3 linked regions of the Arabidopsis thaliana genome follow. The protein of the gene in region 1 interacts with the protein of each later gene in a pairwise test. Each region holds a gene or a part of one and is shown in the gene's direction. Other genes may lie near its edges.

Region 1 (10,807 bases):
ATTTGGTGATCTCAGAGGCGAGATCTGAGTTGGTTTCACACTGGTAGTAAGGTTAGCCTTTGGGCTAGACCTTCCCACTCTTTTGCCTGCTGCTGTCTTCTCACACTTTGTTGCAGAAGTTTGGCAAGACAACGGTGACACAGGTGACATTTCTTCCTTCTGCTTGTAACCGTCAAGATGAAAAACTGGATTCAGTTCATATACTATCAGTGGTGATTTCAGCGTCTTCTTGTCTTTAGAAGGCTTCCTGCCTACTGCTTTACCGATATTTTGTATTCCCACTGCCGAATCTGCACTCACACGATTGTTGCTTGTTGCAGCAGCAGCATGTGGTTTCTGAGAGGATTGTTCATTACAGCTTTGGGCTACTTCCTTGTTGAGCGGTATTTCCGTCTTTTTTGATCCGCTGGTAGTAACATGATTCACAGGTTGCTTGCACTTTCCGGCTCTGCCATCATCAGGAGGTATTCTTTGTTGTACTTTGGTTCTCGTCTTAAATTCAGGCGTCAGTTCATCATCAGGAGGTACTATTCGTTGAACTTTGGTTCTTGACTTCAGTTCGGGCGTCAGTTCATCATCAGGAGGTAATATTCGTTGAACTTTGGTTCTTGTCTTCAGTTCAAGCGTCGGTTCATCATCAGGAGGTACTATTCGTTGAATTTTGGTTCTTGTCTTCAGTTCAGGCGTCGGTTCATCATCAGGCGGTACTACTCGTTGAACTTTGGTTCTTGTCTTCAGTTCAGGCGTCGGTTCATCATCAAGCGGTACTATTCGTTGAACTTTGGCTCTTGTCTTCAGTTCAGGCGTTGGTTCAAGCTCAATACCAGCTAACCGTTTTGATGTTCGTCGGGCTACACTATTACTTAGCTCATTCTTCTTCTCTTCAACTTTACTCCTTGTGATCCGTTTCTCAGAAGAATCTTGTTCCTCTTCTTCCTTCATAACAGCTTCCTTCTTTGGTTTTTGTGACCTTACACTGGAGTTTACAGAATCTACAAATATAGAGAACATAGAAAAAATTGGTGTCCTCAAATCTTTTTGTTATCTCAGCCACTACTCAGGTGGAAATATTAAGTCAGGTATCTGCACACCTTTTTCTGATTTTGCATTTGATGAAGACAGATTTCTTTTTAAATCTACGACGACTTCCTCAGTCGTACTGGCTTTAGTTTGGCTTCTAGTAACCCGTTTCGCTATGAGCTGCTTTTCGATAGGATCTTTCACCTCTTCCTTCTTCCCCAAATCCTCAAGAACTTGTGAGGTTACAATGCTCAAGTCAGAAGTCATTTTACCTGCATATATAATCGAATGTTGACACTTACTTAACGTAACTCACGGCATAAGTATGATTATACCCTGGCAAGTGGCAAAATCAGAACCCAAAAGACTTTGTACTTACAATTCTTGGAATGTTCATCAGAAGAAGATAAGTTTCTCCGTTTACTTCTTCTGACATCATCTATCGTTTTCTCTTTTTCCAATACATCATCTGCAGATCTCTTGTCCACATACTCCAGACGAAGCTAAAATCAGACAGAGAAAAGTTAAGAGTTAAAAGATTAACAGAAAATTCAATCATTCAGCTATAGTGCTTTCCATTAAACTAACTATAACAAAAAAGGAGAAAGGAACTCACAACAGTCTTTCCATTTCCGGAATCATCATCTTCGATATCACTTTCTTTCAATTTACGTGCATAATGTCCAATATTGCCAGTCTCAACATACCGTGATGCGTCTTTGAAGGATTGAAAGATATACTCACTTTTAGGGTCAATGAAGAACTGCAAAATCAAAAACAAGACATGTCCAAGAAGAATCACATAAGAGATTTTCTAAAGTGAGCTTATGTGGAAAAGACACAAAATGTACTTTTGATCAAAGATGATGTTATCACAAAGAGAGTAGAGGGTACAAACTGGATCTCTTCTGGTTTTACGGCCTGATCTATTTGTTATTTCAAGTTTCTTGATCCATCCTTCAGGTAAACCTTGAGCAGCAGATTTCTCAACTATAACCTGTATCACTTAAACATAAAGAGTTTTTCATTTTAAGAGACGTATAAATGTCAAATCTTTTTAGGGATCACAAAGAACAAAGTAACATTGTCTTCAAACATATAAACAACACAAAACTCTCAGATATTCTGTGCTTATGAACTTTCCATGAACAACCTAATACCAGACCCTTGCCAATATAAATGTGATTCATCTCAAAACTTTCCCTTTGCATACGCGAGAGGTACAAAGTTTTAGTGCTTACGAATATTACAGTATTCTCTCGAAGATGGTTACTTAACAATCCAAATTCATTTTCACAAGATCTATTACTCTTAATGTCTAACCATCTCAGTAAAGTAACCATATAATTCCTTTTCACACGAAGTAAACTAAGAGACAAACTTTTAAAAATTCAAGAAAAACTTAAAAAAAATAAACATCTCCAATCATGCACACAAGTAATAAGAGCTTTCTAAGCCACAGTGGAACCAAGTAAAATCAATTGAGTTCAAAATGTAGCTACATAACAAAGCTTTGATCAAACTACATCATCTATAACAAAACAAAAAGTCAGGTCAAGACCATTTTCAGACACTTAATCAACTAGACCTCTTCTCTTTTGATCACATGTCATCTTTCCCTAAAAGCTAAGCATTGCATGCAAGAGAAAATCACTCAAACGTCACAAAAGACTTCACCTTTTTCCATCATTACAAAATCATACAATCAGAAACTAAGAGTGAATCAAAGTATTTGGCACTTCAATAAAGATAACTACAATTTCCACAAAAGGAGCTAACAAGAACCAAACATGCAAAAGACAATCAAAATTAAGAAAAGGGTTTAAAACTCATAAATCACCTTATCCTTTCTCCCATTCTTCCTCACTCTAATTTCCACTTTCCTCTCAGCCGACAAACCATCAGAGATCCCTTCTCCGTTCATCTCTCCGGTCACCGTAAAACCACTTTCCTCTCTCTCTTGTATCCCTGATTCACAACTCAGAATGGTTTATCAACTCAAAACGCCAAAACCCATCAAGAATTGTCGGATTCAGATAATGGACACCGTCGGAAGTTATAAAGAAGGAACCTTTTTATTTTGTCTGATTGTGTGATTTGGTTCTGTCTCCACTAAGGTAAATAAGAAAAATAGTAGGATTTAATGGGGAAGAAGAAGAAAGGGTTTACACGTGTAGTGTGGAGGAGTTTCAATGGAGATTCCCCGATTTGAGAGGTTCAAGAAAACTCAGTCCACCAGCACGCGAGTCTTCTGGCCCAACGCTTCTCTTCTCTGATTGCAATTTAGCTCATTTTCTCCATTTTATTCTCTTGTACTGTTTGTTGTTTACTTCCATTGTTATTGTCCCAATTTTAAAAAAACTTACACTGTATATTAAAAAACATTTGCTTGATTTGGTTATAAAATCTAATTGCAAATCTATTTATGATGATATTTTTTGGGAAACATTTAAGACTTTGTTATCATTTTTTGACCCAAAAGAAAAAAAAAATGTTATTATTGTAAATGTTAGGATTGGAAGATTTATCATGAGAAGAAAAGTGAAAAATACTAATATAGTCAATTATGAATTTTCATAAATCTGAATTAAATATAATTTATTTTTACTTAATATATAGTTTTAATTACTTTTTGTTTAAATTTATGTTATTAAATTTGGTATTTGTATATCATGTTTAAAAGATTTAGAAGTATGATTTTATTCTATTTCTAGTGATTTAATTATTGAAACTTTGATTTTTAAAAAAGTTTATGTATTAATAAATTATTTGGATTGAAGGTTATATCAATGTTATAAAATGTGTTTTAAAATCTGAAAAGTGGTTGATTTTTTCTTTTTAAATTCTGCATCCACGAAACTTATTTTTCTTAAAACTTATTTTTCTTTTCGAGGTTATGATTCTTTTTAGTTTTTTTTATCAAATTTCATGATGAAAATAACTGAATTGAACATCAAAGATTTTCAGAAAATACTCTACTGCTTTTTTCTTAACTATATTCTAGCCATTTACATATCTAAGCTTGATGTCTTTTCTATTTCGTCGAAAATCTATCTATTTTACGGCAGAGACTTGAAACCCGAATTTTGACATATCAAAAACACTAACACAATCCCATGTACTACATTATCATTTGTATTTTACTTATAGAAGAAAATAACTTTTTATTTAAAAATTGTATGGTAAAAATAAAGATTAGTTCCCTAATAACTATATAAAAAATCTTATTCGGTCGTTTTAGCTGTATTTAACTTTTAAACCCAAGAAAGAAAAAAATCAATCAACCAAGGAAGTAGTACAACAACAAGAGTCAAAACCCAACAACTCTCTATCTAGCACAAAAGCCTGACTTTTACAAAGACAAGCCTTTTCAACACACTACTGATCTTGAGAATCCTCTCTTCAAAGCCATGGCGTTAGAACTATGGCAAACTCTCAAAGAAGCAATCCATGCTTACACAGGTCTTTCTCCTGTTGTCTTCTTCACTGCTCTAGCTCTCGCCTTCGCCATTTACCAAGTCATCTCAGGCTGGTTTGCCTCGCCGTTCGATGATGTTAACCGACATCAGAGAGCTAGATCCTTGGCTCAAGAGGAGGAGCCACCGATTCCTCAGCCTGTTCAAGTCGGTGAGATCACGGAGGAGGAGCTTAAACAGTACGATGGCTCTGATCCTCAAAAGCCCCTTCTTATGGCTATCAAACATCAGATCTATGATGTTACACAAAGCAGGTGAAATTTCTGAATCTAAAAAGCGAAATTAGGTTATGGGTTTGATTCATTGTTTCCTCTAATCTTGTTTTAGCGTATAAAGACTTGGACTTTGCATACTTTTATGATCTATAAAGCTGTGAGAATCGTAAAGTTGTTCACTTTGAGAATCAATTTCACAAAGGAGTTTTGTTTTGAGAATCAATTTCAGAAAAGCACATTGGAAAAGTTGATCCTTTTTGTTACTTTTATACAAGAGAAAGATTCAAAGGAATATGTTTTTGTTGTTGATGTTTGCTAGTGATTGAGATCATGTTGTGAAATATCTTAGCTCTATCTTCGAGTATAATCAATCTCTTAGACTGGTTTTAGTGTCTCAAGTGTTGTGTTTGTAATGAAAGGTTGGATTTTTATTGTCTTCCTCAAATCTCGTTTTACTCTATAACAACTTGGACTTTGCATAGTTTTATCTATGAAGCTGTGATATCCATAAAGTTGTTCACTTTGAGAATCAATTTCACAAAAGTTGTGCTTTTCTATGTAATCGAGCTTTTGAGTGGCATAGTGTTAATTTACCCTTTTGCTTCCTTCATACAAGAACAGGATTCAAAGGAAGTTGTAATATGTTCTTGTTGTTAATGTCTGCTTGTGGTTGAGATCTTTAGTGAAAACTCTTTGTTAATCTTTGAGTATAATGAATTGATCATCTTCTTATGATAGTCTAGTCTGGTTTTTGCGTATTTAAATTAAATGTTGTGTTTGTGATGAAAGGTTTGATATTTATTGGTTTTGTAGGATGTTCTACGGACCAGGAGGACCATATGCTTTGTTTGCAGGGAAAGACGCTAGCCGAGCTCTTGCAAAGATGTCATTTGAGGAGAAAGACTTGACTTGGGATGTCTCTGGTCTTGGTCCCTTTGAGCTAGATGCTCTTCAAGATTGGGAGTACAAGTTCATGAGCAAGTATGCTAAGGTTGGTACTGTCAAAGTGGCTGGTTCAGAACCTGAAACCGCATCTGTCTCTGAACCCACAGAGAATGTTGAGCAAGATGCTCATGTAACCACAACGCCTGGGAAGACCGTTGTTGATAAGAGTGATGATGCTCCTGCTGAGACTGTGTTGAAGAAGGAGGAGTAGAGCCCATTTCCAAGATTTGCTCTGATTTGTCATAGAGACCAGTTTTATGAAAAGGATTGTAGAATCTCTAATGTTGAAGTGTCAATGATAATCTTGTTTTACTTTCCCAAAAAATAAAGATTGCTGATTAATGATAAGAAAAAAATGTTTTATAAACTGCATATCAGAAGGCGTTGCATTGCATGATTACAATGTAGTCGAGTTCATACTTGTGGTTTGTGAATCTGCATGATTAATCTGGAAACTAAAACATTAAACCTGATCCTTTTTTTGTAAATTCTCTTCATCCTTTTGGTTACTACTATAGGAAGTTTTTAAGTTGGTCACTAAATCCATATCAATTGGGAAATAGAGTATTCAATTGTGATCCTCGATGTTTAAGAATTGGGGCAAAGAAGACAGTTGACCACGTTCTTCTGAGTGTTCCTTGCATTGCAGATATGTGCGCTCGATCTCCTCAGCACTATGGAAATTTCGGTGTCGTCGGTATTTGCAAATTTGGATATTCTTTTCTTGGAACAACCTGGCTCTTCAAAAGATTTAACCTTTCCATGGATTATTTGATACATTGGAAGGCACGTAATGATAAGGTTTTTAATGATACATTTGAGAAACTGCACAGCTGCAAGAACATAAGACAAGTACCTTTGAACAACGGTCTTTATTACAAAAACTGGAGTTTGAAGTCACAAATTAATGTTTTATAAAATAGTTCATTTTTTTTGGTAAACATGTGAAGATTTTATAGATAGTTGATGGAAGGAGACTCGATATGTTTTCAAATATAGGTTGGATCGGTTTTCATAACGACATAGAAGGATCTCTTTTTAGAGTTAGGAATCTATGCATAAGCCTTTCTCCTATGATCAAGCATCAAAGTACATCGGTAACTATCTCAATGGACTGTTCAAAGCTAAAAGAAAATTGACAACTTCCTGAACATTTTAGCCAATTTTCTCAACATATTTGGAATGGTTTGCAAGACTCAAATATTTGCTCTCTTCTGGCTTTCTGTTATTCTTGTAATTAGAATTGTCTTGCTAACTTGTTAGCTAGCATGTTGTTCACCACTACATTTTCATTATTTTAAGTATGTAAGACCTATAGTTCTATATACACCATCGATTTGGATTACCGAACCATTTTGATATATGTGTATGTATTTCAGTCGACAAAAAAAAAAAACTTCTAAGATCAGTTTAAACTGAATTTTGGTTATCGCCTTCTCTGCGATCATGGATTGGGTTGGACCTAGACATATGGGCTTAAGATACGTTTTACAAGCTGTCATGATGAATACAATTATTGTCTTAAGTGTCACGAGATATTGAAATCGTCAAAATAAGCCAAACATGCACCAAGATATCAACGCACATGTAGTTATTATATAGCAATAGTATTCTAAACGTAATGAACCGTCGATGTATCGACGTGTACTTTTTGCATTCACTTTCTTTTGTCTTCAAAAATAAAATGAAAATCAGAAATAAAGAGGTGTAATATTATCCACGTAGGAGTTGAGATCTACGACGACCAAACTAATCGTTAGGAAAGGTTTCAAAATTTGAGGTTCTTATCCAACCAACGCTAACGTAATGCTAATCTCGTGTTTCCATTTCTTCTTCCTTTAATGCGATGTCTCTCTGCACCCAATAATTAAAAAAAAAGTTTCTTTACATTTTTTCTTCTAAGAGAATTTTTTTGGCAAGTTGGTGACATGGTGTACTTCCCATACTTATCCATATCCCATTGCTCTAACTTTTTGTTGCTAAAAGCTAACTTAAGGAGTGATGAAGATTATAACTCATAATCAATCTAAAAGATAGACTCTTAACCATTTCTAATCACCACAATGTTCAAAGATCATATTTGGAGCTAGTGGTTATTTAGCCATGTGCATGGTCTTATTTTGATAGATTACCTTTTTGGATTGTTTGAACAAAAACATAAATACATGTAGCTAATTTCGATATATTAATTACTTTTCTAGTTGGAACCATTCGGAGAACAGCAAGTACCAATAACGTGAATGCATTTCCATTTAATATCACACAAAAGAAAAGTTCCATGTATCATGAATTTAGCAAATTCCATTTATAAATATTTGGCTTAACTAAAATTATATACATGGTTTCTTCTACATCTAGTAAAAAAAAAAGATAGATAAACCATGATACCTATGTATATGTATTTATATTAAATTTAAATATACCCCACATTTTTTGTTTTCGTCAACAAACAAACCACTTTATAGCTTATATATACACATCACACACACATATGAATGTGATGTTAATATAGTTTCGTGTGGACCTAACTAAAACTAGTCGTAACTCATTCATGGAGGCTTTGTTCTGCTCTGAGATACCCAACAACAACATCAGATCTTCCATTAACGATCTATCTTCTTCTTCTTCATATACATGGCCAATGATCATGACCTCCTCTTCTTCTTCTTCTTCATCTCCCACAATCATGAACATAGAGAACATTCCTAGATGCGACTGGGATCTCTCTCTTTCCGCCGTTGTTTCCTCCGCATCCACCGGATCAGACGCTATCGGAGCAATCGAGTTCGACCCTACCGGAGAGATCATAGCTACGGGAGGAATCGCAAGAAAGATCAGATCGTATCGTTTAAGCTCTTTGTTAGAGTCACGTGACGATCACGTAACAGCTTCAGAGAGCTATATTTGCACGCCGGCGAAGCTTAGTAGTCTCAAATGGAGACCCGATTTTTCCGGTCGGGTTATCGGGTCAGGAGATTACGACGGAGTTGTCACCGAGTACGACGTGGAGAAACAAGTGCCTGTTTCCGAGAGAGACGAGCATGGAGGTAGAAGGATTTGGAGCGTGGACTACACGCTTTACAATGGCTCTCTTATAGGCGCGTCAGGCTCCGACGACGGAACGGTTCAAATGTGGGATCCACGTAACGGAGGGACGTTAGAAGAAACGGTTAGGCCCGGTGGTGGAGCGGCGATTTGTTCGGTAGAGTTCGATCCGTTCGGTGGATCTTCCATAGCCGTTGGATGTGCTGACCGGAATGCCTACGTGTATGACATCAGAAGACTAGTGGACCCTTTGATCGTATTAGACGGCCATACCAAAACGGTGACGTATGCTCGATTCATGGATTCTCACACGATCGTTACCGGTTCGACCGACGGGAGCTTGAAGCAATGGGATATAGATAATGGACGGCGCGTGGTTCGCACGTACCGAGGGCATGTGAATAGCCGGAACTTTGTTGGGTTGTCGGTTTGGAGACATGGTGGTTTGGTCGTGTCCGGGTCAGAGAATAACCAAGTGTTTGTGTACGATAAGAGGTGGGAGGAACCGGTTTGGGTTTGTGGATTGGGTCATACGAACCGGTTTGGATCTGACCGACGGTTTGTTAGTAGTGTGTGTTTGAGACAAGTGGATGAAGATTGGTGCACACTTGTGGCCGGAGGATCCGATGGGGCTTTAGAAATTTTCTCGGGCAAACAAAGCTAATCAGTATTTATATTATTTTTTTCTGCTCATGATTAATACAAACTGTTTTTCAGTTGATTTTATACTGTCTATAGTTATTAATTTTAATATGATTGAATGTTACTACAATTCTTAAGAAGAAATTGTAAGTGATATTGAGAACTTTTTCAATCATTGCAATTCGAATACACATTTTGTAGGGAATTGAAAATTAATTCTAATAGTGTTTTAATTAGCGCTAGAAAATAAATAAATAAAATGTATCAAGGAGAGTGTATATATTGACTTGTAAAATGACAAGGAGAAGTCAAATGTCCACTTGAATGAGAAATTCTATTTCTATATATCTTTTTAGTTTATGGACCTTTTTTTTTTTTTACATAGCTAAGCTAGAGCTTTAGACGACTAAATTGATTTTGAGTCTAAAAGATATGATATGTTTTGTAATCAATTGACCATTTAATCATGTCATGTTCTTTAGTTTTGTAAAAAGAGAAGAAAAACTTGTCAGACAATACTTATACATATACATTCATGTAGGTTAAGAGGGTTGTTTAAAATTATGTAACTATAGTGGTTTGATGCAAAATAAAATCTGGCCCAAACGGCATAGTGGCCAACAAAACTTTGCCACATGACATGACTCCAGTAGCCCAGAAACTGGGCTGATCCAATCAGAGGTTGTCTTTATAGCCCATCTTTAGATGAGTTTTACATCTCTTGTCAACAAATGTTACGACCAACAAAGTCTTTTTCTTCAGGCAAATATAAAAAGAAATAACGTGGTTCAGAGATTAATTATTTTAGAAAAACGTAAGAGTCAGGACATATATTTGGAAGTTCAACATGAAAAGCCAGCAAAACCCATTTGGGTCACGACATATTGTATATGGAAATGCAAAATATTCCCTCTCTCAAATGAATACCCTATTTGTATATTCGAAATGTATTGTATACTTCTATTATCAATAAAATCCAAAATTAAGTTTTATACGTAAATATGTGCAGCAAATAGGAGGGAAGTGTTGACTCACCTACCAAGATTAATTACACAAATATCCTAACAAACAAACTATAATATTGATTATATTTAAAGAAATTTTGTGCATAGGGTTTTTAAATATACACATTGCCAACTTTGGTATACGGGATATCCAATTTGTCCGATCGCTTTTCAAAGATTGGATGATTCTTTGCATTCTTTAATTCAATTGTGTTCATTTTCTTTCATAATCATTGATACGGGACAGACAAAGATTGTTTTGTCAACGTTAAGTTTTGCCCTCTAGACCACTTTTACTCATTTATATGATTTGGTCAAATTACATCATTTACACTTTTACATACACAACATCTTGATATTTTTACTTTAATATATATTCGGAACCAAACTACTTAAGTCAATTTTTGACATCAATCTGTTTGACATTGATAGTGTCTTTGAGTGAGTTTTTGTATAAAGA
Region 2 (10,807 bases), on another chromosome or scaffold:
GATCGTGGTGTCTGAGCTGGAGAGAGAGATACAATCCCACCTCTTCGTTGCTGAATCGAATCCATTCTGCTAAAATTATCTACCATTTAGATTCTCTGCACAAACAAATCATTCACATTGAGCAAATGGATCCAAGGTAACCAAAACCAACATTCTCAAACCAATCAAGCATTTAAAGGTCACATCTTTGAGAAGCCCAAAAACTTAAACTACAAGTTCTAATCTAGAATCCAAGACTTTCGCAGTTTGACCCAAATTTAGCAACTTTCTTACTCAAATTGACTCCATTTCATGAATCAGCAAAAACAAAACAAAATCAGTGAACAAAATGTAAATACATTGCTGAAGCTACTTCAATATCTAGCTACTTTAGTACCAAGCTATATCTAGATCCTTCTCTTAATACCGATGACAGGAAATCGGATCAAACGATCGAGTAACAAAATGAAGAATCTTGGAAGATGATTCAGCGAGTAGTACTTTTCCCGGAAGCAAAACCCACTCTGGAGATTTGAAGACTTACAGAGAAGGATCAAGTTTCAGCAATGGTGGATTCGAAAGAGAGCGACTTGGAGAGAGAGAGAGAGAGTGTGACTTCAACTGCATTTATTGTTCCTTCTTCTCAAAGCAGAAGAAGAGATGAGAGATGAAGTAAAAGGCACAAAACTTAAAGTAAAGATCAAATTTTTGTAAACGACGTTACGGTTTAAGAAGACCGGAGCAAACCGAGATTTCGGTTCCGGTTTGACGATTTATTATCCTAATTATCTTTATTTTTCCACTTCTTAATGAATAAATTCCTGATAATGGAAAAATAGTTACATTCATTCACATTACTAATTTGGTTAATTATTTGTAAAAGCGTATAAGTTAAATAAAATTGTGAATATTGGTCTGGTTTGATTTATATTGGTTAGCGGTTTAGTTTGGGTTATTATTTTGATGAACTTTGGATTAGAAGACAAAAATTTGTCTTCCCGTTTTGAGGGGAAAAGTTAGAGCCTTTTCAGATTTTCTTCCATAATCAATTTTAAATTGTAGCTCAGTCCCATTAACTAAAAAGTTTAAAATTTAAATTTGAATTTGAGATATTAGTTAGTAACTTTTTTTCAACTCTAATGCAAAAACTGTCTAATTTCTCACCTAAATATATCTACTAAAAAAAAGACAACCACCCATAATGCGGAAATTTGATATATCATGAAAAATTTATGAATAAAATTTTAGAAGTAATTTTCTAAATTTTACAAAAGTCAAATGTGTTCATCATCCAATGAATTTGATACCATAGACATGTCCCAAGTTTCATATCAAACAAATGTGGGGTTTTCAACTATTCTATCACATCTCCAAAAGGCAAAAACATTAGATTTAAGTTTTAACTCACTACTTCTTAATTAGGATTAGAGTTACATAAACCAATTGTCAATGTTAGACCACATTTAATGTTCTTGGAATTAGTAACAAAAAATATAGATTATTAGTGAACAAACCATACATATATATTGGAAAATATGTGTATATATATGTTTGGCAACATGTGGTTTCTATATAAGAGATTATGTGTGTATTAAGGAGTGAATAAAGAAGCTTGAAGAAAAAGAGGGAAGGCAAAAGTGTGGGGTTAAGGAGCCATGTGATATGATCCTTCAAACATGTGGTTTTCTTTTTCAAACCCTTTTGCTTTCTTTCTCTCCTCTCTCATTATCAACACACACATACACATATTTATATAATGAGTGTGTGTGTGTGTTTGTTTTTCATAAAATTTGTGTGTCAAGCTCAGTCTCGCACTCATATCTACGCAGCATCTTTTGGTACCAAACACATGTGGGGTTACTTTTTATGGTATCGATAGTTTAGTTCATATTTGTTGGAAAAAGTTATGTATGAATTTTTTTTTACAGAAATATAATTGAACTAGGATTACATCAATTATGTTATCGTTTGCTAAGTTATGTAATATCCTAGATTTTAGCAAAAACGACTACTATAGAGCTCCATCTAATCTTGAAAAGAAAAAAGTTATTAGATAACATCATTTATCATATCTATGACTTTAAAAGGTAACACAATTAATTTCTCTACAAAAATTATTATATATAGACTAATATGTATCTGCATACATCACATGTATGTATATTAACATCTATATTTTATATATATTGCTTGCAAGACACTCTATCAAAAGTATTTCATATGCTTGTGTCTTACTTCAACTCTCTTTATTTGGTAAATATAATCTAGTTACTCAATAAAAACACTAAAACGAAGAAATTTTTCACATGCATTGTTCAGAGGTTTTGATTCCCTCCCTCAACCATTACACATTTTCATTTACAATATATGTTACACCATTTATTTGCTTTACCTTAATCATAAAAACGCGATAATTAATGCTAACAAATAAAGAGACTATAAAACCTAAGAAAGAGCTAATTAACAACTAAACCTTTGTTTGTTGTCGATCGATGCTTAATTCAATAGACTAAATCATATATCGCGACTTTTGTTTTCAACGAGGAGTTACATTAGTAATGGAAGCATCATCGACTGAACAAAGAGCGGACGTATTGATAGATAGACGATCCACTAATCCTACTTGTTCATGTTTACTACTCCGGAAGAAAAAACCAGGTCGTTGAGGAACTGCGAGAGCAATTGAGCTAGTAGTGAGCATCTGGACAATAGCTGACATGGTTGGACGATCTTCAGCTTCTTCTTGAACACATAGTAAAGCGATATGGATGCATCTCGAAACTTCATTTATTCGATAGTTATCACGAAAGGATGGATCCACTAGCTCTAACGGTGACCCATTGCTCCATAGTCTCCAAGTCTAGTGAACATTTTAGTATTTAGAACTTTGGTCACTATTAAATAAAGTAAAATAATAATTAAGGCTCGATATATAAAAAATGGCTCTATATATACTCACATATGTAACCAAATTGCCAGCACTAGTACCATCCATTTGATAGACATTGCTGTTCTTTTTCCCACTTATAATTTCGAGAACCAAGACCCCGAAGCTATACACATCTGATTTCATGGAGAATTGGCCATACATCGCATACTCGGGAGACATATAGCCACTGTGACAAAACTCAAAGCTTAAGTTGATAGAAGCATGCATGTTATGTGCCTTAAGGAAATATACGGAAAACTTACTATGTTCCAACTATTCTCCTAGTATTGGCTTCCGTTTGGTCCATTCCGAAAATTCTCGCCATTCCAAAGTCGGCGATTTTTGCATTCATATCATCACCAAGGAGGATATTACCTGCTTTGAGATCACGATGTATGATTGTGAGTCGTGAATCTTGATGAAGATAAAGAATCCCTCTAGCAATTCCTCCAATGATTTTGTACCGTCTAGTCCAGTCCAGCAGGCTTTGCATGGTAGAGTCTGCGCATATGAATTTACAATGTTAGAAACAATGAATGGTATACAATTTGTAAAAAATTTATCTTAGGCTAAATATTGAACATAACTGACCAAAAATGAAGTAGTCGAGACTTTTGTTGGGAACAAACTCATAGACAAGTATCCTCTCATCTCTTTCCAAACAAAACCCTAGCAATCTTACCAAATTTCTATGTTGAAGCTTTGCCACAACAATAACTTCGTTTGCGAACTCTCTTTCACCTTGTCCTGATGTCTTGGATAACCTCTTCACTGCAACTTGTACTCCACTAGGAAATATACCCTACAAAAATAATCATGAAAATGAAACTTTGTTTTTGTTTAACACATATTCGTTTTTATTTATTAAGTGTTGTTTTTTTTTTTATCAAATATATATTTTGAAAGCAAACTCAATTATTTCTCCTTTGTGGCCTTCTAAAAGTTAGGACCAGTTTTGGACAATGGTAATAATACCTTGTAAACTTCGCCGAAACCACCTTGACCAAGTTTGTTAGTCTCACAAAACTTATTTGTTGCTGCCTCAATTGCTTTAAAATCAAACTGAAGTGAGCCCGCAGTGGTAATATCATCACTTTCTGTAAAACATAGAGAACATTCTTCGTGAAGAAAGAAAATAAAAAGGAGATAGTTTATCATTTGGTGTCTTAATATGTATACCTTCGGTAAGTGGTTCCCTCTCATAATTCGTCCTTGTTTTCTTAGCCCGGAGACTAAAGAAAGCTACGAACAGAAGCAGGAGAGCAATGATTGGAACAACAACAACGATGATTACAGAGGAGTTCCGGCCTTTTCCTGTATTCCATCAGATTACATGTATGAACCACTTTTTTAAAACAAATCTTGAGTGTCTCAAAAGAAACGTTGCAGTTATGTCCATCATACCACGTTCTGAAATCAGCGGTGGGGGAGCTAACTTCAGCTGCTGTTGAGGAGTAGAGCGAGGCGGAAGAGACGGTGGTGATGATGATCTAGTGGCGGTTTCATTGTAGAACGAGTAATTCTCGTACCTTGAATTACAACTAGGGTAAAAAAATCTTCCTCCAATTCTGTAAAGAGACATTCCCTTGATGGATTTTTGTAGGCAACGTAAACAGTCTTGTCTTGTAAGATCAGGTGTGCACTGAACTAACAAGTACAAAGGCTGGGGTGTGATGACCTTTCTCGTATAAAATTTTTTAGAACTATTCGCTGCTTCAACGGCAGCTAGGTTCAACGTGGACGACACCAAATCCCTAAACTCATCTACTTGATTTTGATTACTTGATGAAATATTAGCGCCGTTCAACAAGATAGCACTTCCATCGTATGTAACGGTCGAGAGAATATTTCGGTGAGAGTATCTAAGCATACACTCATCGTAATAAAGCACGACTTCTTTGTTATACGGACACCAATATAAAGTCTCCTTGACGGAAAAGGCGACGCAGTTACGGCAAACTTCTTGTGAGACGTCTCCGCGACAAAGGAAAAGTCCGGTGACACGGTCGGGAGCTTGTCCCGCCGTGGCAGTTTGGAATCCGGTAGAGTATGAAGCGTTCCGGGAAGAGAGAGAGGACAAAAGTGTTTTGAGATTGGTGAAGTAAGTGCTGTTTCTTGAATACGTTAATATACTACTTGGACAAGAATGGTTTAGGTGAATAAAATTTTGAACTGGAGCTGAAAGAGGAGATAAGGAATCGGCAAATGAAAGATGAAGGAGAAAAGGAAAAAGCCAGAAGAAAGACATGCTTGAGTTTCTTCGATTTGCATGTGTCTAAGATCATGAAGCACACATGCATTAAATAAATTTATTTTTCTTGACTACTGTACATTAACGTGAAGTACAGGTTGGTTCGAAGTTTTTTTTTTTCCTTTTTAATAACAAAAATATCCTAGGCAAAAGATGATGATGCACATTAGAAACAAACAAAAGGAACGGGTTGGCGATCAGAAATTGCCAAGTAATTCATACCAAGTAGTAACAGAAAGAATCATCGTCATTGATAGGATAAACACTCTCAAAGACAATGACGAAAGAGAAGACAAAATACAAAGACTCATTTGCTACTTCACAATTTTTATCTTTTTGGTATTTTCTTGTAACCAAATCTCCGTTCGTTTGAAATCGTATTTCGACTTGTCATACTGAAATTAAAAAAAAAAAGACAAAATTGATACGTGACATATACACATGGTGGTCAAAAATGAGTATGAGAAAATTGATACGTGACATAACACATGGTGGTCAAAAAAGAGTATGAGAAATGAGACTTTATATATCGATGAAACCAAATCCAATGCATGCAGAGATATCTAAACACATACAATCAAAAGTTAAAGATGTCCAACACATCAATGTCTGTAGAAGACAGTACAACAAAAAAAGCGTTTTGAATCGCTTATTTTTTATATTTGCATATTGATGCAAATGAGTTTTACATCACTTATATAAGTGACTTTAGAATTGGTGAGTGAAAAAAATTATTTACATCGTTTCAAATAATTATTTACATCGATTATAATATTAGAAACATGATGCTTAACTCTTAACATAAATTACGCCAAGACCAATTTGAACCATCTGAAAATTAATTATAGCATTCTATATTTATGTATTCGTTCCTCGAATTTATGTATCTTTACTTTTATAAAATTTTACCATACTATAATTAATTTTTAGATTCTATATATATTTATAAATGAAAATTTAAGGAAATTAGTGATAATGGAATGGCGGGTAAATAGGATCAATCCCAATGCATGCTTGTGTCCGAAGCATGATGTCATCATTTGTTAGTTCCCCTGTCTCGTTCGATCAAAAAACACGTTTTGACAGAAGAGATTCAAAGTGACAATCAGTTTCAAGATTTAATTCTCTTACCCACTCTCTCACCCTGGCTTTCATAACTTTCTCCGGGAATAAGAATCGCCGGAAAAGAAGAAAACCGCCAATGGAGAGTACGGTGGAAAGAGAGGCGTGGAAAGCTCACGTGGCGATGATCGGTGTGCAATTGTTCAACGGAGGATATCATGTCATTACCAAAGTGGCTCTCAACGTTGGTGTAAACCAACTTGTCTTCTGTGTCTTTCGTGATCTCATTGCTCTCTCCATTCTTGCTCCTCTTGCTTATATCCGTGATAAGAGAACAAGACCTCCTTTGAATCGACAGTTTCTCTTAGCTTTCTTCTTCCTTGGTTTAACAGGGTAATTCAAGTTTTCTTCTACCAGTTTCTGTTATCTTCATGATTGCAATCATCACAGTGATGTTTTGGTGTGATTAGGATATTTGGTAATCAGCTTTTGTTCCTCATTGGTCTGAATTACACCAATCCAACTTATGCTGCAGCCATTCAGCCGTCGATCCCGGTTTTTACTTTCATCTTGGCTCTCATTATGGGGTAAAGACTCGATCCAGTCTTTCTCTTTTACTTTCTCTCTGACTCTTCCAAACCTAGAACAATCCATTTTCGTGTGTTGCTGCAGAACAGAGAGACTGAATTTATTCAAGCTAGAAGGTCAAGCTAAGGTAGGAGGCACACTGATTTGTGTCGCTGGGGCGGTGCTGATGGTTTTGTTTCGTGGACTGGCTTTGTTTGGGGAAACAGAGGCTGAGTCCTTGGGTCATGGTGAATCAAGACACACTGAAACATCTGGACACTTCATGTCTGGCTTTTTTAATGGACTTGGGCGATGGAATTTGGGAGTTTTGTGTTTGATTGGGAATTGCACTTGCATGGCTGCTTTTCTTGCTATTCAGGCATGTCATTTTCTTCTAGATGATCCACACACTTTCAGTTTCAGATATCTTCTTGTCTTTGGACTGACCTTGCATTTGAAACATATATGATCAGGCTCCGGTCTTAAAGAAGTATCCGGCGAATCTTTCAGTCACAGCATACTCGTATTTCTTTGGGACCATGTTTATGGTGACATCTGCTTTTTTCATGACTAATGAGTCGACGAACTGGAGTCTCACAAGATCCGAGTTCTTTGCAGTTGTCTACGCAGTATGTTCTTCACACACCATATGTTTGTTGATCCATTAAATTTCTCCAATTGAGTAACTCTGTTGCTTCCTCTATGCAGGGAGTAATCGCGTCTGCTCTCAACTATGGTCTCTTGACATGGTCAAATAAGATCTTGGGTCCTTCCTTGGTTGCTCTCTATAATCCTCTTCAACCCGCAGCCTCAGCTTTCTTGTCCAGAATCTTCCTTGGAAGCCCTATCTACTTGGGGAGGTTTAATATCTCTCTCCTTTTCTCTTAGCTATTCTCAGCCATCAACGGGATGTGTCTGAAGTTTCCTAACTAACTAGGCTTTTTTCTCCTCCTCTCTTAGCATTTTAGGCGGATGTGCAATCATAGCAGGTCTTTATAGTGTCACCTGGGCATCTTACAAAGAAAAGAAAGCGGCAGCAGCAATGGCTGTGATCCCGATCACCTCAAAGGAAGCTGAACCCTTGATCTACAAGGACCATAAAAACAAACCAATAGGACATCTATTCACAAAATCTCCCATCTCTTCACCAAAATCCGATGATTGAACAAAAACTCTGGCTTCTTGAATTACTTGGGTGCTCCGATGTTTTCTTAACCTTTTGCCGACGAGAGAGTGACTATTTTATTTTCTAACAGTATATATATGCATATAAACATCAATGTTTAACAGAGTCTCATTATCAGGTTTGATGTCCTCAATGCGAAAACCATTCTGCATAATACTCGAAACCATAGCCTCCAACAGTTAAAACTGTCTGACCCTCCATAGCTCTGAACACCTTCTCTGCATTTATCACCAACCTATACTTCCTGTACATATCAATCAGCCCACTTTGTATCAAACCATTTGATTCAAACCCGAGCTTTATGGAATTCACATGCACTCGCTTCCAAAATCTAGCCCCATCACTAACATAAGTGGAAGAAAGATACAAATTTGTGGCAGAGGGAGTGAACTTGCTTCCCTGATGTTAAATCTGAAATCAAGGCACATGCTTTTAGAACACATCACATTATGTTGTTCAACATAGCAACAAGGAGAGAAGTGGCATTTTGGTAACCATCCATTGCAATACAGGCTATACAGCTGATGATAACAATTGCAGAGCAACGAAAATCTCTGTAGGGCATTTATTCCATATGTGGCGGGCGAGGTCCAGGCGCCAACATGATACACACATCAAAAAGACGGTTGAGAAACTGCAAGGTTGGTCTTACCCCAGATTTCAAAATGTGAACTTGCAGCTCTATAAGCCCCACCAGCGATCACGAGTCAGTTGATTTCTGAGCCAGAGAAGAGTACAGCTCTTCGGTTCCAGACGGAGAAAGACAATCCAGTAACCCAAGAATGTCGGAAGTCAAGCAACAAGGAGTTCGATCCTCTGGATGGCGTTAATAACGGCAGGTTATGTATGGGATTCATGACAAGAAGTTGACCATGGACCCAGTTCCAGAGTTTTTATCTGAATTACTCTGGAGATTTTAATTAAAGAACATATTGAACCAAACACAGCCACAAGAGCTTTTATATAGATGATGGCTTCAGAGTTCCACCATTAAATCAGGGAGCAATCTGAGACAAAAATGAAGTCATCAACAAAAGAGATACAATTCAGAGAATTTCAGAGCTTTTCTATCATTTTATGGTTCTTTATAATTCTGGGAGACAAAACTTAAGTTATAGTGGAGAAAGCACCAATGGACATGACAAGTAATAAAATTAAGATCTTCTTAGTCTAAATATTACATAATGTAAATTTAAGATCTTCTCCGAGCTTTCTACCATGACTGAGAAAACCTGAACTCAGCAAAAATGTTGTTTCATCTCTTCATACCTCTGCATCACTGGATTCTGAATCTTCGTCTTCTCTCCAAGAAAGAACTGGATTGAGTGAAGATGACTTGTATAATAAAGATTGCAAGAAGTTAAAATAAGCATACTTGATGTCAAACTGCATGTCATACCCTGCAAATTAGATGCATACATAGCTTATTAGAGGCAAGGAGAGCCGAAAAATACTGGCTTGCCACTGAAGACAAACAGATGATGGAAGCAAAACTAAAACTCTTACAATAGTTCACTGCAATGGTATAACCTCCATCTCCTGGGGTTTGACTAACATGGTGAAACCACATGCTTGGCCTGCAAAATTCAGAACCATTCTGAGTCAGAATCATGACTAGAAAATCCAATTGTGTAGTAGGTCTATCACCCATTTCTAATCTTTGTTTCTTATAAAGCAAAGGTAAGACTGAAGTAGATACATTAGTGATCCAAATTAAGCCAAAAAGTTTCTGAGAATTTTCAATCTGTGGAGCTATGGGATTTAAATTCTTACAGGTAAAGAACCTCGCCAGCCTTGACAGTACAATGAAACGGCTTCGGGCCATCAAAGAACAACGGAAATTTCAATCTCTCGCTTGCTTCCTTCTCTGGCGAAGGGTATGGATCAACACTAGACCAAGGTACATGCCTAACCGGCTCCTCAACCTCAAGCTTGAACGCATCAGTATCCTATAACGATTCAAACTTTATCTCATTCAACATCACTTAACAAGAAACCAAACTCATTGAAACTTATTAATCTAAAAATCTCACAGACTCGGTGGTAAGAGTAATTAGCTGCCGGATACTGTTCGATATAGAGACGGTGAACATCAGTCGGAGGAAGAAGAAGGAAATGTTTCTCCCCTGAAACAACAGCGTAAAGATTCTCATAGTGATCTTTATGAAATGAAGTCACGGAGTCATCAGTACCAATCCAAAGGTTCACAGCTTCCGGCGAACAACCAAATGCCTCCGTAGCCCACTCAATATCACCGTCGCAGTCTAACGCAACCGTCGAATACTCCGTTCTAAAACAATCGTTTTGCTGTTGCAAATACCCAACCTTCAGTCCTTTACACGACGATTGAACAACCTTAAGAGCCTCCGGGAACAGAACTTTCTCAACATGAGCCGAAGCGAAACAAAGATCACTATCTCCGGTGACGGCGTCTGCGCAGCCGTTAGGAGTGAGATGTAGCGAGACAACGTCATCTGACAAAGCTCCGGTGAGGTAAGCCGGATCTGACCAGAGTTTTAACGCCGGCCAATGAGTAATAGCTTTGGAGATTACACAAGGCTTGCTCTGAGACACGTAGTTTCGGAGAAACTTCACCGGAGACGGTTGAGAATCAAAACGATCGATTTTAGTTCCTAAGCTCAATTCTCTCACTTCTCTCCATAAATTCTCTATCTCTTTAGCCATTGACGAAAAAAAATTGGCGGGACAAAAAATTTGGGGGTTTTAACACATAACCAAGAACCCTAATTTATATTTAAAGAAAAAAAGAAAAAAAACTGTTTTTGTTATAAAAATAGGATTTTTGAAATAAACTTGTTTCGAAGAGGAAGAA
Region 3 (10,807 bases), on another chromosome or scaffold:
AAGAATTTAACTGCAAAATATGTATTGGAGAATCTACCTTCTCTCCGTTGCCTCTGGGGCCAAAATTCGGAACCTGGTCAAAAATTCATTGAAAGGCTTTCTAGTGGGATATCCAGCACAACTAATCCTAATGGCTTCCATGACCCCCTGAGGTCAGAAAAGTATGCTTCACAACATCACGTAAAGACCGAAAAATTGTCGCAGTTGCAAAAAATAACAGTATATGGTTCTCTGAAACATTAAGCTTACCCCACACCTAAGTTGATGCAGAACATTAACGTTCTCAAATATTTCTGGCTTAAGAACGTTATTTGGCTTAACACAACGTATGTAGTGTGGCTCTGTGGTGTTCAACGTCTCGAGCAAAGATTGTAGTTGTTGCTGTAATTTATAACATGGTGAGAATCACCGGAAAAACAATATAAGAAGAATTTAATGAATTTAACATCATTAGTAGACCTTGAATTGAGAGCCTATTGATGAGAACTTTGATGATTTGGACGATTCCTCTCGCGATTTTGGGAACAACGATGAGACAAAGGAACAATCTGAAGAGTTCATGAGAGATTGATGTTCTCCAACAACATAATCTTTGTTCTTGTCTAAAAATAGTTCAGTCTGATAAGTGACCTGAAGTTGAACATCAATACAGTCATTACACCACATTGACATTTTTGCCATTACTTAAAGACAAACATTTAAGCACAAACTTCTGTAGTAAATTAAATCACTAACATCACCAGCATAATGGCAGATGGTAAAGTCTGTACGAGCCAATTTTGGCTTGGTAAAACGCTTGTGGCTACCAAATGTCTGGTATAGCTTTTCTGCAAGTGTATCATGTGTTGATCTTGGGAACATACTGTAGAGGCATACACAAACTCAGCCACTTATTGAAGAAGTAAAAAGAAATCAGTGAAGAAAGAACATGACGCTTTGGTACATTACCAAGCCTCATCAAGAAGAGCAATAATTCCACCAGGTTTCTGACATTGAACAATTCTGTATTAGGTGCTAGAAATCAATAAATATGTATGAAACTGGAACTGCTAGAAAACGGAATAAAGATTCCAACACCACTCATTGTGATACTACTTACCTTTTCTATAAGGTCAAGGACATCTTGATTATCAATGAACTCTATGTAACTCCAGTCAATCTCTTCTTTAGTATATTCTTCTTGCTCCATCTTGAACACATGCTGTAGAAGAGAGGAACATATGCATGAATATGGATCAGCATAAAATTAGATCAATCAAGAATCAAAAATATGAAAAGAACCTCAGTCTCCAACCTGATTGAAATGCTGCTGCAGCTTCTCGTTTGTCAGGTTTATACAAAACTGTTCAAAACTGCAAAATGTGAAAAGAGAAAGACAACGTTGTAATTGTAACACAAGCATTAAAACTGCTATCAGTTGAACCATATAACAGCTAGGAACAATCAATTATGAGAATAATAATAATATTGTCCCAGACCAGAAAAAAATCTCTAGCTAAGTAGCTAAAACTTAAGAAATCCAATAACAAACCATCTGCTCAATGTTTGAAGAAGACTAAATCAGAGAGCATATAGGCAGCCATGCAGGAAGCAGTATAGGGAGTTTATAAATCAACTCGAAAAAGGAAATTGAACATTTTGGTAGCGTACCGGTTAAGCACCTGTTTGTCTTGAAACTCTCAAATCCATAAATATCCAGGACTCCAATTATGTACTTAGAACTTGAGTCTTGGCCAATGGAATTATTTATCTTAGTCACAAGCCTGGGAGCAATAAATTTGTAAGCTTTCAAAACTTTATATCCCAGGATTGATAATAAGCCCTTAAGAAAGAAGCCGTTATTGTAAACCTACCAATCAAACAATTTAGAATAGACAATCTTGGCAAGAGCATCTCTGCTTAGTGCTGCACTACCGGGATCAAGAGGCTTTGTAATGCTTTCACCACGAGTCACCATCACCCTATTGCACAAGGAGTTCTCTAGAGCTTTCTCATCACACCTACCCAAAAAAGAGCAATCAGGGTTCTACCTCCCATTGACAAGAAACCTGTAATCCGAGAACACATAATAGTGAAGCATATACATGAAAAGTTTTGCAGCAACTTTTAGATGGAACCGGGATTTATCGTCCTTGGGTTCTGCACCATCTGATTCTTCGCTCTTTGCAAACTCAATGTTTCCTAGATGAAGGATAGCAGCAACTACCCGAAAGATTGCATCCTACAAAAGTAAAATGTAAGAAGAGTTATCCTCATTGCTGATCATGTCAATGAAAAAACAAAAGGTACCTGTTCTTCAGGACTAATTCCAACAACGTCCATAGCTTTCCTCGTAGCTAGGTATTCTTTGGAATCATCAATTGCATCCAATGCATGGCAATTCGATTGATTTAGGTAGTGAAATGTGCTTGGTTTCCCTAACTGATACCGCTCAGTTTCCTGAAATTTCAGAACAGAAGCTAGTTTTCAGTATGAATCCCATATATGGCCAAGCACTGGACATACAGAGCCTTCATATGTTCGACCTGATGTAAACATACAAGGGACCATGTTTACCTGTTCTGGCGCAGCGCAAAGCATGTAAAAGCAATGATAGTTTCTTTCAGGATCAGAAACTTGACAAACTCGTGACCTCTCCAGCAAATATGTTCTAATAGCAGCTCCTGAGATTCTTCCCATATGATTGAACTGAATCTCCACAAATTTACCAAAACGACTGCAATATGAGATTTGCCTACATATGTCAAGGTTGACTTCAAGAACATACATAAACTTGAAAAATCAAGAAATGTGAATGACATTCCACCTTGAATTATTGTTTCTGACGGTTTTTGCATTACCAAAAGCTTCTAAAACTGGATTTGACTGCATAACAGGATCATAATACGAGAAGAATAAGAAGATATCTACAGAGAGAAACTCAGTGAGTCTGTCTCTAGTAAGAATGTAGATGCATTGTAAACAGACTATCTACCTCCAAAACTTGCTGTTCGACAGATCGTCCTTCACTCTCAGCTTTTCCACCCATGTATGCAAGATATTGCATGAGCATTTTTGTGCTCTCTGTCTTCCCAGCACCGCTTTCTCCACTCACCAAGATCGCCTGGCTTACTCCCTCGTTGATCATTTTTCTAAATTTATATTCTTGATGATGGTGAGGCCCAAAAAAAAATGATAGTGCAACATTAGTTAAAGTTTCATCTATGCAACAAAAGATTACCTGTATGCAGAATCAGCAACAGCAAAAGGATGTGGGCTTAACTCGCCAAAATCTGTGCCCTTATATTGCTCCATTATCTCATTTCCATATAGGTGGGGTAATCTTTTAAAGGGATTCACAGCTATCAGTATATTCCCTGTGTATGTCTGTAACCATCAAGAAGAAATTAGCTTGCTACAAACACTTCAGAGAAATATTAATGATATTGCTATAACTGTGCAGTAATTTTCAGCAAAACAATGGTAGAGATAATCATAGAATTCATAAGTGGGTGTAATGAAAGAAGGAAAACTGACAAGAGTTACATGCTGAAGCGTACATATATTTCATTTGCATTGTATCTGGCTTTTAGATTGAGAAGAACCCCTGGTTCATGCAAATACGCAAGCTTTGTCATGTCGTCCACACCAAGCTCAGGAAACTCAGGATCCTTGGGGTGGACAGCATTAACCTTTGCCACAACCTACAAACAAATGCATCACAAATATGAGCAATGTATTCTTAAGGTACCTTAAGAACTAACACATTGTCTCGTTGCTTTGGAGAAAAGGGACTAACCGTCTTGGTTTGGCAATTAACTTTGATCTCTTGACCGTTAGCTTCCACAACTTCTCCATCTAGCCAGGCTTCATCTGGATCTTCCACCCAGACCTGTGACCCCACAGTTACCTTCACTGAAGCCTGATTAAAGTAGAATATATTAGAAACAAATAAAAAAAATATTGTCAAGCTTCATTAGCTGGTTCTTTTGTTCTCTTTTAGACACATCTTATAATGAAATCTAAAATGTAAGGGGCAACATAAAAATCAGCTCAAATAGCAATTATGGTTACAGAAGATAAAAAAAAAAAGGTAAAAATGAAGAACACGGAGAAATCGCAATGCAGATAAGAGAAGAGAGACTCGTACCATTATCACGGCCAAATCTGGTCTGATTTTCCTAGAAATGATCCCGAATAAAGATTTCCAACGGGAGAAACATTAGAAAAAATCCCTGAGAACCCAATCAGCTGGTGTTTCCACACCATGGATCCAAACACCATAAATCAAACACAAAACGCTTCTCTCTCTCTACTAGCTTCAAAATCTCTGATCGACGTTATAAATGCGGAAGATTAAGACTACATTCACGTTTTACGGACGATATTTCAAATTTCTCCGACGATTACAGAGACCTTAAACCCTTCGGCTTTTGCCTTCCAATATTTCCCCAGGAAAGCTGGAGATTCTCGCAGAACGTAAGAAATTTTCTCGCGTTTTCCCTCGGAATATTCTCTCCTGGTTTTTTTTTGTTTTTGCCTTGTTTGATGCTTCGTCTCTCTCTCCCTCGTTTCTGGAAAAAGGAAGAGAAAAGAGAATCCACGTAGGCGTGTCAGGTCAGACATTTGATGATCTCGAAATTACCCCTGCAATTATACCGGATTTCAGTTCTAACATTTCTCCTGGACCAAGCCGGTTTATAGTATTCGATTCTAATGGAGGAGATGATGACAACGTGGCGCAAGTTGAGTGTGTCTATACATGGAGCAGAGCATTTTCTTCACTGTTCTCGCTTCGCCAGACGTTAATGGCGGATAGAGGAGCTCTTTCGTTACCGCGAGCTTCTACTTATCTTAGTTTCTCAAACCTCCATGTCTGGCGATTCCACAACCCTAGATCTTATCCTCCCTCTCGTTCTCAACTCCTCTGTTTCTCTTCCTCATGCTCTAGAGTAACTTCGGCGAAGATAATTCAGCTGAACCGCCGGAGATTCAGCTATAAAATATGCGCCGCCGCTGATGACGGTAGGGGATACCGTTTGACGGAAAGGGGAAAAAGGGGAAGGAAGCGGCGGGAGCTATGGGAAGAACTTTTTGAAGATAATGTTGAAGACGATGATGATGAAGATGATGGTGGTGGTGGAATTGGTAGTGCTAATTTTGACCTGTGGAAGATCTTAGAGGAAATTGTAGATAATGTTTGGATTTTAAAGGTAATTAGTTTCAATCATGCATCTTTTAAGCCTTAATTATGAAATTAGCCGGGAATCTACTACTGCTAATTGAAAATGCTGATTGATTAAAGTATCAAAATTGTTCTTTGGTAATGGTTATGGTGATCATGTAAGAAACAGTTAATATCGTTGTGTAGTGAATCTGAACTAGTTTTGATTTCTAACTAGATAGTGTCTTTCTGCTCAAAGATAAGAGAAACGGCTTTGTTGATATATAGCTGCATTTTATTTGCATACACCAGATTTTGCTCTCTTATTGTTGGTGTGGGATCTTTATTGTGTTTGGTTTATGTTCACTTTGTAGGCATTCAAATCGTATGGATATCTCCTCCCATTCATCATCTTATCGCTTTTCTTCAGCACCGGACCCAAAGCTTTCCTCGTGTCACTAGCCGTAGCAATCGGGCCATCATTGTTATTTTATGCGTTCCAGAAGTTGATTGGTTGGGATAAACGCAGAGGTACATCAATAGCAAATCAATTCGGGATAGAGGAAGAAGAAGAAGAAGTGGAGAGAAGTAGTAGCAGGATTCGATACAACCCATCAACCGTTAGAAACAATGTCAATGGCCGTGGAGTTAACCGTAGTTCAGCTGGAATGGCTTCTAAGTTTGGTGGGTGGGACGAGTTAGACGGGCTTGGTACCACCATTCCCGAACGGCCAACAAGCGAACCGAAGAAGAAACCGTTACCGAAGAGGAAGAGAGTAAGAAGAGAAAAGGCAGCAGAACCATTATTGTTGAGATTGTTGGTGTCTTTGTTTCCATTCTTAAGCACATACACAAACATGCTCAAGTGAAAAACCACTAAACCAAAACAAACCAAGTTGTTCAAATTAAACCGAACCGAAATTGGTTAAAAATAGAGAATAATTATGAGCCTCAATTTCAGTTTGAGCATCACCATTTCTTTTCCATGACTTTCCTCTTATCAAGAACATTTATTTCTCTCACTCTCAGACCTTCTTGTTCGATTTCCATGGCGAATTTAACGACGAACGCTAAAACTCGCCTGAGAGGTGTTGTATTCGATATGGACGGAACCCTGACTGTTCCGGTCATCGATTTCGCCGCAATGTATAGAGCTGTTCTTGGTGAAGATGCTTACAAGCGAATCAAAGCAGAGAGCCCTAGTGGGATTGATATTCTGCATCATATTGAGTCGTGGAGTCCTGATAAACAGCAGAAGGCGTATGAAATCATTGCTGATTATGAGAAACAAGGAATAGATAAGCTTCAAATCATGCCTGGTACGGATTCATCTGCTTTATTTTTTTATTTTTGATTTTGTGTTTGCGCTGAGGAAGTGTTAAGGATTTGGGTTTTCGTCTGATAATCTATCGTAAAATGGGTTAAAGATTGAGAATTTCGTAGAGTTAAAGATGAGAAAAGATTGCAAATTCAAGGCTGAAAGATAAAATGAACATTTGTTAAAAGTGAAGACTTTATGGTCTAACGGAGGTTTGACTTTTGTCTTAGAGCCCCACATCACGATTTGAGATCATTCCTTTACTGGTCATTGACTTTATGCTGTTGAGTTCTATAAGATGATTTAGCAGTTGAAAATCTAGAAGGAGTACTGTGTTTCTTTGGCGTTTAGAGGTTTAATTCTCTTCTGATATGTGATCATTTATGTGGCAGGTACTGCTGAACTATGTGGCTTCCTTGATTCCAAAAAGATAAAGTCTGTGGTTTTCAGATACTTCTGTCTATGATTTTTTGTTTTCTTGTTCAGATAACTTGACTGTTGTTACATTTTGTATTTTACTTTATAGGAGGGGGCTAATTACACGCAATGTTCAAAAGGCAATCGACATCTTCCATCAACGTTTTGAGGTAAGAATGTTGAATTGAAGACATTTTGACAGCTGCCTGAGATAGGTTTAGCTGGATCATTCTTTTTTTTTTATCAGAGAGAAGAAATCTGAGGCAGTTCCTTACAGTTATTTTTCATTGTATAGGTTATCTTTTCTCCAGCACTAGGCAGAGAGTTTCGTCCATATAAACCAAACCCAGACCCGCTGTTGCATATATGTTCTACATGGGACATCCAACCTAATGAAGTCATGATGGTTGGTGACAGCTTAAAAGATGATGTGAGTGACAGACATGATGACAAGCCTTTGGTCAACCCTTTCTCCATAGCAAATCGATAAGCAATGCAATGAAAGAAGCTTAAACAATGGATCTTCTCATGCCATTGCTTAAAGATTTTCTATGTGGAAAGGATGCCTACCAACTTTTCAGACTATTTTTCTCACATCTTTACTGAAGATTACAACTGGTAATCGATCTTTCTTTTCTCGATTCTGCAGATAGCATGTGGGAAACGAGCTGGAGCCTTCACTTGCTTGCTAGATGAAACCGGAAGGTATGGACCAGACGATTTTTCTGTTTCCGGTCTGCAACCTGATTTTAAGGTTGATTCCTTGTCCAAAATCCAGAACCTATTGGAGACGAACTTCGACCTGAACCCGTAGTTTTTCCAAGTTCCTCATCTTGTAGTTTCAGTGACCAAATTAGTGTCCTACTCAACACAGTATCTGTTCAGGATAGCCATAAATGTCAAACCACGGAATTCTATGCACTGGCTATCTTTAAGTTGCACAATTGTGTCCCTGCATGGTCGTCTAGCGAACATGTGTGTGAGGGCAAACATTGTTGTTTGTTAAATCCAAAATTTCAAGATTTTTAATATCATCTCTAGTCTCTGAATGGCTGAATCTGTTTCTTAGTAAGTCTTCCAACAATGATAGATCTAGTGTGAAATGTGATCCTGCTAAGTGAAAAAGACTTCTCAATCGCTATTAGTGTTTCTACAAGGAACCAATGAATGCATATATCTTCGTGAAGGTCCCAGTGGGGTCTTTTTGCTTCCCTAGCGTCTGGTTAGCACGGTCAGATTATGGCATGTCTTCGCAGAATCATGATACAAACAAAACATTTGTATTTGATGGTGATCTAATGCCATATTCCCAGAATAATGGCGATTGCAAATAAGATCAACAAGGTAAAGTTGCCTCCGGGAAGAACCCATGGCCTGCAAAATCAGAAGGTTTTGGTTTCATATGAATCCCATAGATAGTTCCAATGAAGAAACAGAGGACTACAGAGAATGTTTTGTATAGTAGGGTGAAGTTACCTGAGCTTCTTTCTGGACTGTTGAATATAAGCCATTGCAGGAGGCAGGACACCAAAGAGGAAACAGTTTGCATAAACACCGGCAAAATCCAGAGCTCTCGAGAACGTTGAGGGAAAGAATGTTGCAATTAGAGCTGGAACTCCAAGGACAAATAGCATCACTACTGCTTCAAACCCATCACGAGCTCTTGCTGGTTCATTGTATGAGGCTCTCCCATTAGTTCTCCTATCACGCTCTTTTGATGAGAAACTTACAGACCCAAGTCTTCCATTTCCATTTGATTGCTTAGACACAAGCTTCCATGTGTCGAGGAGCTGTTTCGGGAAGCTAACAGCATATCCGATTAAACTGGTAGCTAAGGCTGAGAAAGCAAAGCCTTGAACAGCAGATAAGGCAGAAGGATTCACAGATAGAAGAAGAGAGATTGGGTCAATGGTTGAAGAAGGTGCAGCAGGCACAGTGATTCTTGCAAGCCCCAAAACAATTAGATTCCAAGACAACACCATAGCCAATGGCACAACACCGCCTACAAGAATGGCTCTCCGAGCATCTGAAACCGAATCCCCAGCGAGATTGCATATGAAAGGCGTGATCACATGAAACCCTAGTGTCAGTACCATAACAGGAACCGCGGGTAAAACCATGGAGACTTTCCAACATGATTGACCAAATGAGGCTAACACATTGGACCTAGCCACAGATAAACCAATGGCCACAAGTGAAGTTATAGAGAAGAGCATGAGGAAGCAGAGACCCCTGTTGGTGAAATCAATGGCATTGAAAGGGAAAAACCCGATCAAGATTCCGGAAACTAGAGGGAATATAGCATTGGCCAAAAATGGATTCATTGAAGGAAACCATTGAGACACAATGGAGCCAATACCCGAGACACAAGCAACCATCAAAGAGAAACTTAGTGAAGCATACACAAAAGCCACGAAAACTCCAAATTTGTTCCCAAAGGATTTAGTTGCAAGTCCTGTGAAACTAACCTCTGCTGCATTGTCTTCTTCCATTGCTGCAAAGCTGAGCTCAGCCACGAGAAGAATAGAGGAAATGACGTAAACCCAAGAACAAAGTAAAGCAATGGTCGATGGGATAGAACCAGATCTGATAGTTGCAGCTGGGAGGCCGAGCATTCCTGGACCAACGGCTGTTCCGATGATCAAACTAACGGCAGCCCAAAAACTCTTTCCCTTCTTCGTTTCGTGGGTAATCTCCAAATCATCCATTTTTTCTAAAGTCTCCGACTTTTCATCTTTGACGAACTCAGAAGACACGATAGTTGAGTGAGGCTCATCGTGGTCGCTGCATTTGACAACTAAAGGTGAGTAGAGAGAGCCATTCTGCGAAATGGGTTTCCGGTAATCTTTGGTAAATTGGGTTGGAGGCGAACTCTGAAAATGACGACAGTCGGGAAACTTGGGAAAACTCAGGCGAGAAGAGAGTGTACGAAGGACATTTTGGGGAAAAAGATTGAATTTTGAAAATGTGGGCGTTGCTGCAATGGGAGCTAGAGAATGTTGGCGAAAAGGAAGAGCCATTGATGCGATGTGCAAGATTCTCTGTCAAGTGGACCTGATTTGATTTTGTTGGTATCAACTTTTGGAATCTTAAGGCTGTCTTGTGAAGATACCTATTTACTCTTTAGTGTCTTTTTAGGGCTTTGTCTAATAAACCAGACATGAGGAATTGGTCTAACCAAAAGGATTGGATTGGTTTAGAAACAAATTAAAGGTACAATATCTATCTTTGATTATTTGCCTTTCATTGGAGTGGTCTAATCATTGGATTGATTACCGCTAACACTAGACACAGCCTAAAACTCAACTAATAACTAATCTTCATGTAAATAAAATGTCTTATGCCAAATCAATAGTGAGTTGCACAAAACAGAGAATGTAAGGATGGACATAGAGTAGTCTTTCTATGCCAAATATTTAAGCTAGATTGCTAGAACTTAGTTTCGACATCAAAGAATGTCGGTAAACGACAAGACTTTAGAAGCAGCAGCAGCAGATTTGGCCTTCTCCTTATTCCGTTCAACTTTGAAGTCCAACAAAGTTAGCTCCATATTCTTGACCCGTTCCTTCAATTCTTGGATCCGGAGACCACCAGCAATTGCTTTCTTCCTCTCAATATATATCCGGATTGGATTGGTTCGGGTTTGAATTGTAGAGAGAAAGAGGAAGATGGTTGATATTTGGTTGATTGATATTCTCGCAAACAGAAAAAGACATACAATACAATGTGTTTGCTAAACTGATCTAAACCAAACGGAATTACAAAATAAAATAGTTATACCGAGTGACTGAACCGAAATTGATCAAACCAGATGGATAATAGAGTACATGTCACATGCAGCAATAGTTTCTTTAAGATCGCAGGAGTTTCCTAAGAAAAAGGAAGAGAAAAACCTTAAGTTTACTAAAAAAAGGCAAAAGAGAAATATC

What was found.
Region 2: the proteins of MSBP1 (region 1) and UMAMIT3 interact in a protein complementation assay, tested with the Arabidopsis thaliana proteins (one large-scale study listed by BioGRID).
Region 3: the proteins of MSBP1 (region 1) and AT2G33250 interact in a protein complementation assay, tested with the Arabidopsis thaliana proteins (one large-scale study listed by BioGRID).

What each region holds. Positions count from the first base shown.
Region 1 is NC_003076.8:21,208,691-21,219,497, forward strand, and holds MSBP1 (membrane steroid binding protein 1), read left to right. Parts: upstream 1-4,249; 5' UTR 4,250-4,430; coding exon 4,431-4,750; intron 4,751-5,524; coding exon 5,525-5,867; 3' UTR 5,868-5,921; coding exon of another isoform or gene 5,922-5,929; 3' UTR 5,930-6,152; downstream 6,153-10,807. Other genes in the region: MBD13 (methyl-CPG-binding domain protein 13), read right to left, coding at 1-992, 1,092-1,292, 1,400-1,523, 1,637-1,783, 1,919-2,017, 2,861-2,944; RUP1 (Transducin/WD40 repeat-like superfamily protein), read left to right, coding at 8,208-9,365. UniProt on the Arabidopsis thaliana protein: MSBP1 can bind to multiple steroid compounds with different affinities. Negatively regulates cell elongation and brassinosteroid signaling. May act as a coreceptor with BAK1 and enhances its endocytosis.
Region 2 is NC_003074.8:16,860,886-16,871,692, forward strand, and holds UMAMIT3 (nodulin MtN21 /EamA-like transporter family protein), read left to right. Parts: upstream 1-6,147; 5' UTR 6,148-6,360; coding exon 6,361-6,614; exon of another isoform or gene 6,615-6,691; coding exon 6,692-6,808; coding exon of another isoform or gene 6,809-6,893; coding exon 6,894-7,167; intron 7,168-7,261; coding exon 7,262-7,417; coding exon of another isoform or gene 7,418-7,456; exon of another isoform or gene 7,457-7,496; coding exon 7,497-7,648; coding exon of another isoform or gene 7,649-7,676; intron 7,677-7,748; coding exon 7,749-7,953; 3' UTR 7,954-8,041; downstream 8,042-10,807. Other genes in the region: AT3G45850 (P-loop containing nucleoside triphosphate hydrolases superfamily protein), read right to left, coding at 1-86; AT3G45851 (uncharacterized protein), read left to right, coding at 546-650; CRK4 (cysteine-rich RLK (RECEPTOR-like protein kinase) 4), read right to left, coding at 2,516-2,839, 2,939-3,095, 3,172-3,409, 3,500-3,710, 3,884-4,005, 4,088-4,222, 4,313-5,156; AT3G45880 (2-oxoglutarate (2OG) and Fe(II)-dependent oxygenase superfamily protein), read right to left, coding at 8,970-8,981, 9,244-9,374, 9,481-9,551, 9,748-9,923, 10,012-10,659.
Region 3 is NC_003071.7:14,092,667-14,103,473, forward strand, and holds AT2G33250 (uncharacterized protein), read left to right. Parts: upstream 1-4,702; 5' UTR 4,703-4,787; coding exon 4,788-5,192; intron 5,193-5,517; coding exon 5,518-6,012; 3' UTR 6,013-6,085; downstream 6,086-10,807. Other genes in the region: XID (myosin XI D), read right to left, coding at 38-147, 250-381, 460-630, 736-862, 949-986, 1,100-1,201, 1,295-1,352, 1,662-1,763 and 10 more; AT2G33255 (Haloacid dehalogenase-like hydrolase (HAD) superfamily protein), read left to right, coding at 6,129-6,462, 6,854-6,896, 6,988-7,048, 7,174-7,308, 7,528-7,692; AT2G33260 (Tryptophan/tyrosine permease), read right to left, coding at 8,174-8,252, 8,355-9,898.